Linked DNA regions of Macaca mulatta. The protein of the gene in region 1 purifies or fractionates together with the protein of each later gene. This does not show direct contact. Links are inferred from orthologs where the notes say so. Each region holds a gene or a part of one and is shown in the gene's direction. Other genes may lie near its edges.

Region 1 (4,476 bases):
CTTTGAGAACTTATCTGAAAGAGATGTCATTTCTGACAGCCCCTGCGAGGAATTGGCATCCTTAAGCAAGCCATAGACAAGATGCAGATGAATACAAACCAGCTGACCTCAATACATGCTGATCTCTGCCAGGTAAGCAGCCAAAGTGTGTGATTCACACCAACTCAGAGGTGTAGGTTGTTGATGGGCTTGCTCAACATTGGGTTTGATAAACGAAGGCAAGTTGGCGGATATTGTGATGTGTTATAGAAGTCAGAATATGTAGGTACATCTGTTACATTCAGGCGGGTGCTGGATGCAAACTCTAGGATAGGGCTCAACTAGTAAGCTTGTTGAACAGATAGGATAATTAATTCTTGTAACTTTTTTTTTTAGACAGATTCTTGCTTTGTCATCCAGGCTGGAGTGCAGTGGAACGATCTCAGCTCACTGCAACCTCTGCCTCCCGGGTTCAAGCAATTCTCCTGCCTCAGCCTCTTGAGTAGCTGCGACTACAGGCACCCACCACCACACCTGGCTAATTTTTGTATTTTTAGTAGAACAGGGTTTCACCACGTTGGCCAAGCTGGCCTTGAACTCCTTCCTGACCTTGCGATCCACCTGCCTCAGCCTCCCAGAGTGCTGGGATTACAGGTGTGAGCCACCACGCCCAGCCCTAGTTGTAACTTTTTAAAAAATCCTGAATCATTCTTTTAAAATTGTGAACCTGCTGGGTGTGGTGGCTCACACCTGTGATCCCAACACTGGGAGGCTGAGGCTGGTGGATCACCTGAGGTCTGGAGTTCTAGACCAGCCTGACCAACATGGAGAAACCCCGTCTTTACTAAAAATACAAAATTAACTGGGCGTGGTGGCACATGCCTGTAATCTCAGCTACTTGGGAGGCTGAGGCAGGAGAATTGCGTGAACCCAGGAGGCAGAGGTTGTGGTGAGCCGAGATTGCACCATTGTATTCCAACCAGGGCCGTAAGAATCAAACTCTGTCTCAAGAAAAAAAAAAATTGTGGAACCTGAGACTGAACATATCTAACTTCTTACACCATAAAATGTTACTTGTTAATCTTTTTTTTTTTTTTTTTTTTTGAGATAGAGTCTTGCTCTGTTGCCCAGGCTGGAGCGCAGTGGCACGATCTAGGCTCACTGTAACCTCCGCCTCCCAGGTTCAAGCAATTCTCCTGCCTCAGCCTCCTAAGTAGCTGGGATTATGGACGTGTACCACTACACCTGGCTAATTTTTGTATTTTTGGTAGAGATGGGGTTTTACCATGTTGGCCAGGCTGGTCTTGAACTCCGGACCTCAAGTGATCCGCCTGCCTCAGCCTCCCAAAGTGGTGGGATTACAGGCGTGAACCACCATGCCTGGCCTCATTTATTTATCTTATTTTGTGAGGAGGGCAGGTATATAATGAAGTCTCCTTTCCATTCTGTTTGCTAGCCATCTATTTCTTCTCTAAAAGGAAACTATGTTAGTAATTTTTTGTGTATCCTTCCAAAGACTTTTTATGGACATAAAAGCAAATATGAATATATATTTTCTCATTTTTTACACAAATTTTAATCTATGCAGACTCTTCTGTGGCTTGCTTTTTGTATTTAACGTATCTTGGAGATGATTCCGTAGTGGTACTCTACAGGTACGGAGTAGTCTATAATATGAGTATGCCATGGTTTCACAAGTCTGCATGGGTATTTACATTGTTTCCTTCAAGAATAACATGGTGTGTGGATTATTTCAAACACATGTTCTAGTTTCATATGAAGATGTGTCTTTTTTTAATGTTTTAAAAAAATTGTGATTGAGGTACAACATACAGACAGTAAAATACTAAAGTGTATAGCTCAGTGAGTTCGTATGCATGTCTACACTGCGTCTCCATTAGCTAGATAACTGTTCTAAGGGCTTGGTTTGCTGAGTTGCACAATTCCCTACATTTACCTAAAGGATTAAAACACTGGAAAGGATTAATTAAAGGAAGCACTTCTACTTACACCATGCTGGTCTCTTTCCATTCCACTAGTTCAGTAAAGAGAAAGAGGACACACTCTTTTGCCCTCTAATCAGATGGGTAGGGATAGGTTAAGGGATAACTGAGTCTTGTCTGTAGAATTCTCTATTCTCTCTTTTTTTTTTTTTTTTTTTTTTGAGACGGAGTCTCACGCTGTTGCCCAGGCTGGAGTGCAGTGGCGCGATTTCGGCTCACTGCAAGCTCCGCCTCCTGGGTTCACGCCATTCTCCTGCCTCAGCCTCCTGAGTAGCTGGGACTACAGGCGCCCGCCACCGCGCCCGGCTAATTTTTTGTATTTTTAGTAGAGACGGGGTTTCACTGTGGTCTCGATCTCCTGACCTTGTGATCCGCCCACCTCGGCCTCCCAAAGTGCTGGGATTACAGGCTTGAGCCACCGCGCCCGGCCAGAATTCTCTATTCTCAATCGTCTATAGCATGCTTGGCCTTATAGCTGTTTAGCTTTTTATAAAGAAATGCTCCACCAGGTGAGGTGGCTGACGCCTGTAATCCTAGCACATTTGGAGGCAAAGGTGGATGGATCACTTGAGGTCAGGAGTTCGAGACCAGCCTGGTCAATGTGGTGAAACCCCGTCTCTACTAAAAATACAAAAATTAGCTGGGTGTGGTGGTGCACACATGTAATCCCAGCTACTCAGGAGGCTGAGGCAGGAGAATCACTTGAACCCGGGAGGCAGAGGTTTCAGTGAGCCGAGATGTGCCACTGCACTCCAGCCTGTGTGACAGAGTGAGACTCCGTCTCATTAAAAAAAAAAAAAAGTAATGCTATTTTATTCTGAATGGCTAAGAAAATGGAGTACAGGTTGATTAGTCCTAATCTGAAAATTTGAAACCCAAAATGCTCCAAAATCTGAAATCTTTAGAGTGCCAACTTGGCACTCAAAGTGCTCATTGGAGCAATTGCATTTCAGGTTTTCAGATTAGGGATGCTTAACTGGTATGTATTCTGCAAATACTCCAAAATTTGAAACACTTCTGGTCCTAAGCATTTCAGATAGCAGATACATGAAATGTGTTGACATTTAGATCATTTTAGTCAATAAAATGTAAAACACAATTACATTATTTGGAAATTTCTGGAATCTATGAATTTTCTTCTTCTGCTAATACCTGCCTAAGTAAAATTAAAGTGATGATTTAATATCAATTTGTTCACAGCTTTGTTTGCTAGCAAAATGCTTTAAGCCTGCCCTTCCATATCTTGATGTGGATATGATGGATATCTGTAAAGAGAATGGAGCCTATGATGCAAAGCACTTTTTATGTTACTATTATTATGGAGGAATGATCTATACTGGGCTGAAGAACTTTGAAAGAGCTCTCTACTTTTATGAACAGGTAATCATTTCTCTAAAAATTAGCTGAGGTTGTTCTGAACTCATGTGATCAAAAAAGTGATCCCATAGGTTTGTGGCTAGAGTGGACTGATCCCGGGGCCTCCGTTTCAGGTGGTGGTCCTTTCAGAGACTGCTTCTCTGTCATCAGGTAAATGGTGGTAACCTGATCCCTAAGTTGAGGAGCAGTGCCAGTGCATAGAAGAGCACTTGTGGGTGGGTTCTAATCTAGGCTTGCACTTATATCTTATCTGATTTGGGATAAGTTATGACATCTCTTGACCTTTATAGCTTCCTTTGCATATAAGGAAGAGATTGAACTGAATGATCTTGGATGTGTCTTATTCTAAAACCATGTGTGGTATTTTGTTAAGTTTTATTTACTCAGTGAAACATTCTCTTGATTCAAAATTTAAAGGGTATAGAGGAGTACACAGTAATAGTCCCTCCCACCCTTTCTGTGTCTGTGTAATGAAACATAGTGCACAATTTGGTAGACTATTCTGGAGCTTTACTCAGACTTTGAAAAAGAGATACACAATATTGATTAATAAACCCGTTGTCTTAAGGTAAATTAGCTAGATGTTCATACTTTCCTTTTTAGTTCATAGCATGTATTAATAAAGGATATTTAAAACCTTCAGGGAGCTCAGCTTAGTTGGAATTCTAATACATAATACACACACGTACACACATCCGTGGCTCTGAACCATACCATAATGAGTGGTTGATGTGCCCTGTTGAGGGGACCTGAGAAGGGCCACCATAAGGTGCCAGTAGGTGGAAATGGTGTCATTAAAGCATGTGTCTAGTCAGGTCAAATCTTCAAGGTGACTTCTCTTTAAGACTACAGATTCAGAAAATTATAAAAATGTACTTCATAGCCACTCGATGCATTATCATTGCTGTAGCCAAATATAGTAATTCATGAGCAAACTGGTCTTGAAATATCAAGATGATGTGTGTTTTAAAAAGGTAAGAAGGGGAGGGTGCGGTGGCTCATGCCTGTAATCCCAGCACTTTGGGAGGCCAAGGCGGGCGGATCACCTGAGGTTGGGAGTTGGAGACCAGCCTGATCAACGTGGAGAAACCCCATCTCTACTAAAAATACAAAATTA
Region 2 (4,972 bases), on another chromosome or scaffold:
CTCATTCTTTCATCTTACATGTTTTTCCCTTCTCTCTTTAAAAATAAGCTTGGACCCCATCTCTACTAAAAATACAAAAATTAACCGGGGATGGTGGCGCACGCATATAATTCCAGCTACTCGGGAGGCCAAAGCAGGAGAATCATTTGAGCCCAAGAGGCAGAGGTTCAGTGGGCCAAGACTGTGCCATTGTACTCCAGCCTGGGTGGCAAGAGCGAAATCCTGGCTCAAAAAAAAAATAAAAAAGAAAAGATAAGCTTGGGCGGGGAGGGGTGGATGCAAAAAAAAAATAAGTTTGGACTCATTAATTCCTTGGTTCCTTCAAAGTTTTAATATTTTATTATGCCTTTGATTCCTTCTCACTTTTGTTTCACCTTTTCCATTCATTTCTTCTTCTCCTCTTCCTCCTTTCCCTTTCCTTTCTGTGTTTCTGCTTATTTTCTATTACAAACCAAAATATGTGGACCATAAACTGCATCTGCAGTTCCTTTAGCCCTAACAGACTACGAGTTCTATTTCTCTTTATCTTTCTCTTTTTCACTTTCTTGTCTTTCCATTACTTATAAGTTTCTTAATTTTCCTGAGTCTCAGTTTTTCCATCTGGAAAGTGGAGATAACAATTACTAGATTGTTGTATCAGATGAATTAAGTAATGCTCGTAGCTTAACACAAAGGCCAAGATGTCATTAACTTTACCCTCACTTGACCTTCTGCAAGCCTGCTGTGAAATATAAAACACTATATAAATGTTAGTTGTTTTTGTTTTTATTAAAGTATGTTGAAGTAGAAAGATGGTTTTGAGTTTGAAAAGCTCCAGATAAATCCTTGGATTTTTATGAGTCTCAATTTCCTTTTCTGTAAAATGAGTAACATAGGGGTTTTTCCGCCCCAAGAAACTAAGAGTCCATGTACTGAAAGCATCATTCTACAAGTATTAATACATATATAGTAATCATGGTAGAGGGTGTCCTGAAGTCACACTGGGAATATTTGTGAGGATTCAACGGAATAAAATTTTAAAAGATGTCTGACCAATAGTAAGCACTCAATACATGTTAGCAATTATTATCTTTTACTCTTCTCACTTCTTTTCTCCTGCTCTTCAAAAAAGTGAGTGGTTGAACGACCTAGGTGATCTCTGCTGCTAAACTTCTATTATTGATTATTGTTTACTTCCTCTCTGCCCCTTACTCCCCCATCCCGTTTTTTTCCCGCTTCTTCACTCATTCCATTACAGCTTTTCTCTTGCCTCAGGCACCCAGGGCAGTCCTGATCTCCAGCTCTCCAGCGGCTTAGAACAAACACAGAGTCGGCCGAGACCAGGGGACCCGCCAAAGACGTCTGTGTTTAGTGGCTAGCGCTCTTCCACTAATAAAGTTTTATTGAAATACAGTATTTAAAAAGGCGCCCGTCATTCTTCCCCCGGCGACCAATCGGAGAGTAGAATGCTTGCGTCCCTCACTGGAGCTTCAGCGGTTGGAACGCGGGGGCGGGGCATGTCCTGCCGAAATTTGCGTCCTTAGAGCGGAAGTACGGCCGGAAGCCCGCCATAGAGTTTAGTGGCCAGAGCGACTCTTCAGGGAGGTGGCAGGAAAGGCTTGGAACAGCTGCCGGAGGTGACGGAGCGGCGGCCCCGCCCGGTGCGCTGGAGGGCGAAGCTTCCAGGTAGCGGCCCGCAGAGCCTGACCCAGGGTACGACGAAGCAGTCGGCGGGAGCCCACGGTCGCTGGGCGGTGTCTTTAAGGGAGGGGGCGGAGCCACGTGTAAGCTTCATTGGGGTGAGGTCACGTGGTTGTGGGCGCGTGCGGGGCAGGAGTGGAGAACTGAGGGAGCGTCGTCGTTAGTGTGGATACCATGCGACACCCCTTTCTCCGTTGCATCCTGTCTTAGGGTTCAGTGGCGGTGCACATGATGGGGCTTGGGGTTAGGCTCAGGGGAGGGGGTGGGTGTGGCAGCCTTGTGAAGTGGCTGACTAGGATTTGTAGATCAGAATTCTAGACCGCTCCATGTGTGATTCCTCACCGCAGAACCGACTTAGTACCTATACAATCCAGTCCTTCAGCCTTGTGCTTCCCATCCTACCAGCCATCGGGGATCTCTAGCTTCACATTCTCTTTCCTTGCAGCTCTGGACATCCTGAGCCCAGGTGCCCCCAGCTCAGTGCAGTCATGAGTGCGGAAGTGAAGGTGACAGGGCAGAACCAGGAGCAATTTCTGCTCCTAGCCAAGTCGGCCAAGGGGGCAGCGCTGGCCACACTCATCCATCAGGTGCTGGAGGCCCCTGGTGTCTACGTGTTTGGAGAACTGCTGGACATGCCCAATGTTAGAGAGGTGGGTTGCTGGCTTGAATAGTCCACAGAGAAGCATGGGCAAAGGTTTGAATTTGAGAATGGGTGGGCAGGGCTCAATTTGTGATCCCATACCATTCAGTTGAACAAGAAAACAGTGATGATTAAATGCCAACTTGCAAAAGTAACCAGTAAACAAGCAAACCAGCTTTCCTTTGGAGATAAAGGATCTGTAAAGTCCACTGTTTTTCATTTTAAGCAAAAGAGCATGTTATTCAGAATAGGAAATCTGATTTCCAGCCCGTCTCCACCAGCGTAATAGCTGTTAATTCTCATGTCACCTTGATCAGGTCACTTTTGTTTTAGGGCCTGAGCTCTCTTTTTTAAAAATGGAGACAATACTGCCCCCTCTGTTGTGGGAATAAAGTGAGATTATGGGAAAGTGTAAAGTCTGGTACAAGTGGGTAGTGAACATGTTAAATTAGCATGCCCTGTTCTTCCCTATGTGCAGCATATGCTAATCTGTTCAAGGTAGCTAAGGGAGAATGTGTCTTTTTCCCAAAGACACATGGCAAACACTAGGAACACAGCAGAGAGAACCATTCACACAAAAGTGGCAGAGTTAATTTACAGAGGAGGCAGCCTGAGTCCTGACATGCTGACAGTGATATGTGGGTAAACTGAGCTAAGTTATGTGGGGCCTGTGGTTTAACCTTTTGGATCACTCTGTGATATGGTGAAAACTGGCTGACTTTTCCCTGCTTTCATCTGCAGTGGAACTAAAGAGTATCCATCAAGGTGATGAAAAAGAAGCACTTGGCCTGGTGCAGTGGCTCACGCCTGTAATCCCAGCACTTTGGAAGGCCAAGGCAGGTGGATCACCTGAGGTCAGGAGGTGAAACCAATATGGCAGAACCCTGTCTCTATTAAAAATACAAACAGGGCTGGGTGCAGTGGCTCACGCCTGTAATCCCAGCACTTTGGGAGGCTGAGGCAGGCGGATCACAAGGTCAGGAGATCGAGACCATCCTGACGGTCTAACACGGTGAAACCCCATCTCTACTAAAAATACAAAAAATTAGCTGAGGCCGGGCGCAGTGGCTCAAGCCTGTAATCCCAGCACTTTGGGAGGCCGAGAGGGGCGGGTCACGAGGTCAGGAGATCGAGACCATCCTGGCTAACACGGTGAAACCCCGTCTCTACTAAAAAATACAAAAAACTAGCCGGGCGAGGTGGCCGGCGCCTGTAGTCCCAGCTACTCGGGAGGCTGAGGCAGGAGAATGGCGTAAACCCGGGAGGCGGAGCTTGCAGTGAGCTGAGATCCGCGCACTGCACTCCAGCCTGGGCGACAGAGCGAGACTCCGTCTCAAAAAAAAAAAAAAAGGCCGGGCGCGGTGGCTCAAACCTGTAATCCCAGCACTTTGGGAGGCCAAGACGGGCAGATCACGAGTTCAGGAGATCGAGACCATCCTAGCTAACACGGTGACACCCCGTCTCTACTAAAAATACAAAAAACTAGCCGGGCGAGGTGGCGGGCGCCTGTAGTCCCAGCTACTGGGGAGGCTGAGGCAGGAGAATGGCGTAAAAAAACCCGGGAGGCGGAGCTTGCAGTGAGCTGAGATCCGGGCACTGCACTCCAGCCTGGGCCACAGAGCTAGACTACGTCTCAAAAAAAAAAAAAAAAAAAATTAGCTGAGCATGGTGGCGGGCGCCTGTAGTTGTAGCTACTTGGGAGGCTAAGGCAGGAGGATGGCATGAACCCGGGAGGCGGAGGTTGCAGTGAGTTGAGATGGCGCCACTGCACTCCAGAGCAAGACTCTGTCCCAAAAAAAAAAAACCACAAAAAACAGGGCCGGGCTTGGTGGCTCATGCCTGTTCCCAGCACTTTGGGAGGCTGAGGTGGGTGGATCATGAGGTCAGGAGTTCAAGACCAGTCTGGCCAAGGTAGTGAAACCCTGTCTCTACTAAAAATACAAAAATTAGCTGGGCGTGGTGGCAGGCGCCTGTAATCCCAGCTACTTGGGAGGCCGAGGCAGGAGAATCACTTGAACCCGGGAGGCAGAGGTTGCAGTGAGCCGAGATTGCGCCACTGCACTCCAGCCTGGGCGACAGAGTGAGACTCTGTCTCAAAAAAAACAAACAAACAAACAAACAAAAAAGCTCATGTATCCCAGAAGTTAAAGTATAATTTAAAAAAAAAAGGGTGGCAGAGGTTGCAGTGAGCCGAGATCGCACCACTGCACTCCAGCCTGGGTGACAGTGCGAGACACCGTCTCAGAAAAAGAAAAAGAAGCACTTATTGAGTGGCTGTTTACTGCCCTTTTTATGGTCTGGGAATACAAGAAAAGTATCAGAAGAGATAAGATGAATGGATATAAATCTAAATTATTTATTTATTTAGCGAGTATTTCTTCTGAGGCAATTACTGCATAGCTCTGTGGGATACCAGAGACTGGGTCTATAATCTTGTTGAAAGATATTCTTAGGTAGCAACCTTCTGCAAGGATTGATTAAGTGCCAGAATGAAGCTGAGCACAGTGGCTCATGCCTGTAACCCCAGCACTTTGGGAGGCTGAGGCAGGTGGTGGATCACCTGAGGTCAGGAGTTCGAGACCAGCCTGGCCAACATGGCGAAACCCTGTGTCTACTAAAAATACATATATTAGCCCAGTGTGATGGTGCATG

The links.
Region 2: the proteins of COPS3 (region 1) and COPS7A purify together in Homo sapiens (affinity purification with mass spectrometry; 14 studies listed by BioGRID and IntAct, counting the BioPlex papers as one, with this or other methods). This does not show direct contact. The link is inferred for Macaca mulatta from reciprocal best matches to the Homo sapiens genes COPS3 and COPS7A.

What each region holds. Positions count from the first base shown.
Region 1 is NC_133421.1:18,817,495-18,821,970, reverse strand, and holds part of COPS3 (COP9 signalosome complex subunit 3), read left to right. Parts: exon of another isoform or gene 1-39; coding exon 40-132; intron 133-3,182; coding exon 3,183-3,362; intron 3,363-4,476. UniProt on the Homo sapiens protein: Component of the COP9 signalosome complex (CSN), a complex involved in various cellular and developmental processes.
Region 2 is NC_133416.1:7,678,522-7,683,493, forward strand, and holds the start of COPS7A (COP9 signalosome complex subunit 7a), read left to right. Parts: upstream 1-1,544; 5' UTR 1,545-1,665; exon of another isoform or gene 1,666-1,763; intron 1,764-2,125; 5' UTR 2,126-2,168; coding exon 2,169-2,330; intron 2,331-4,972.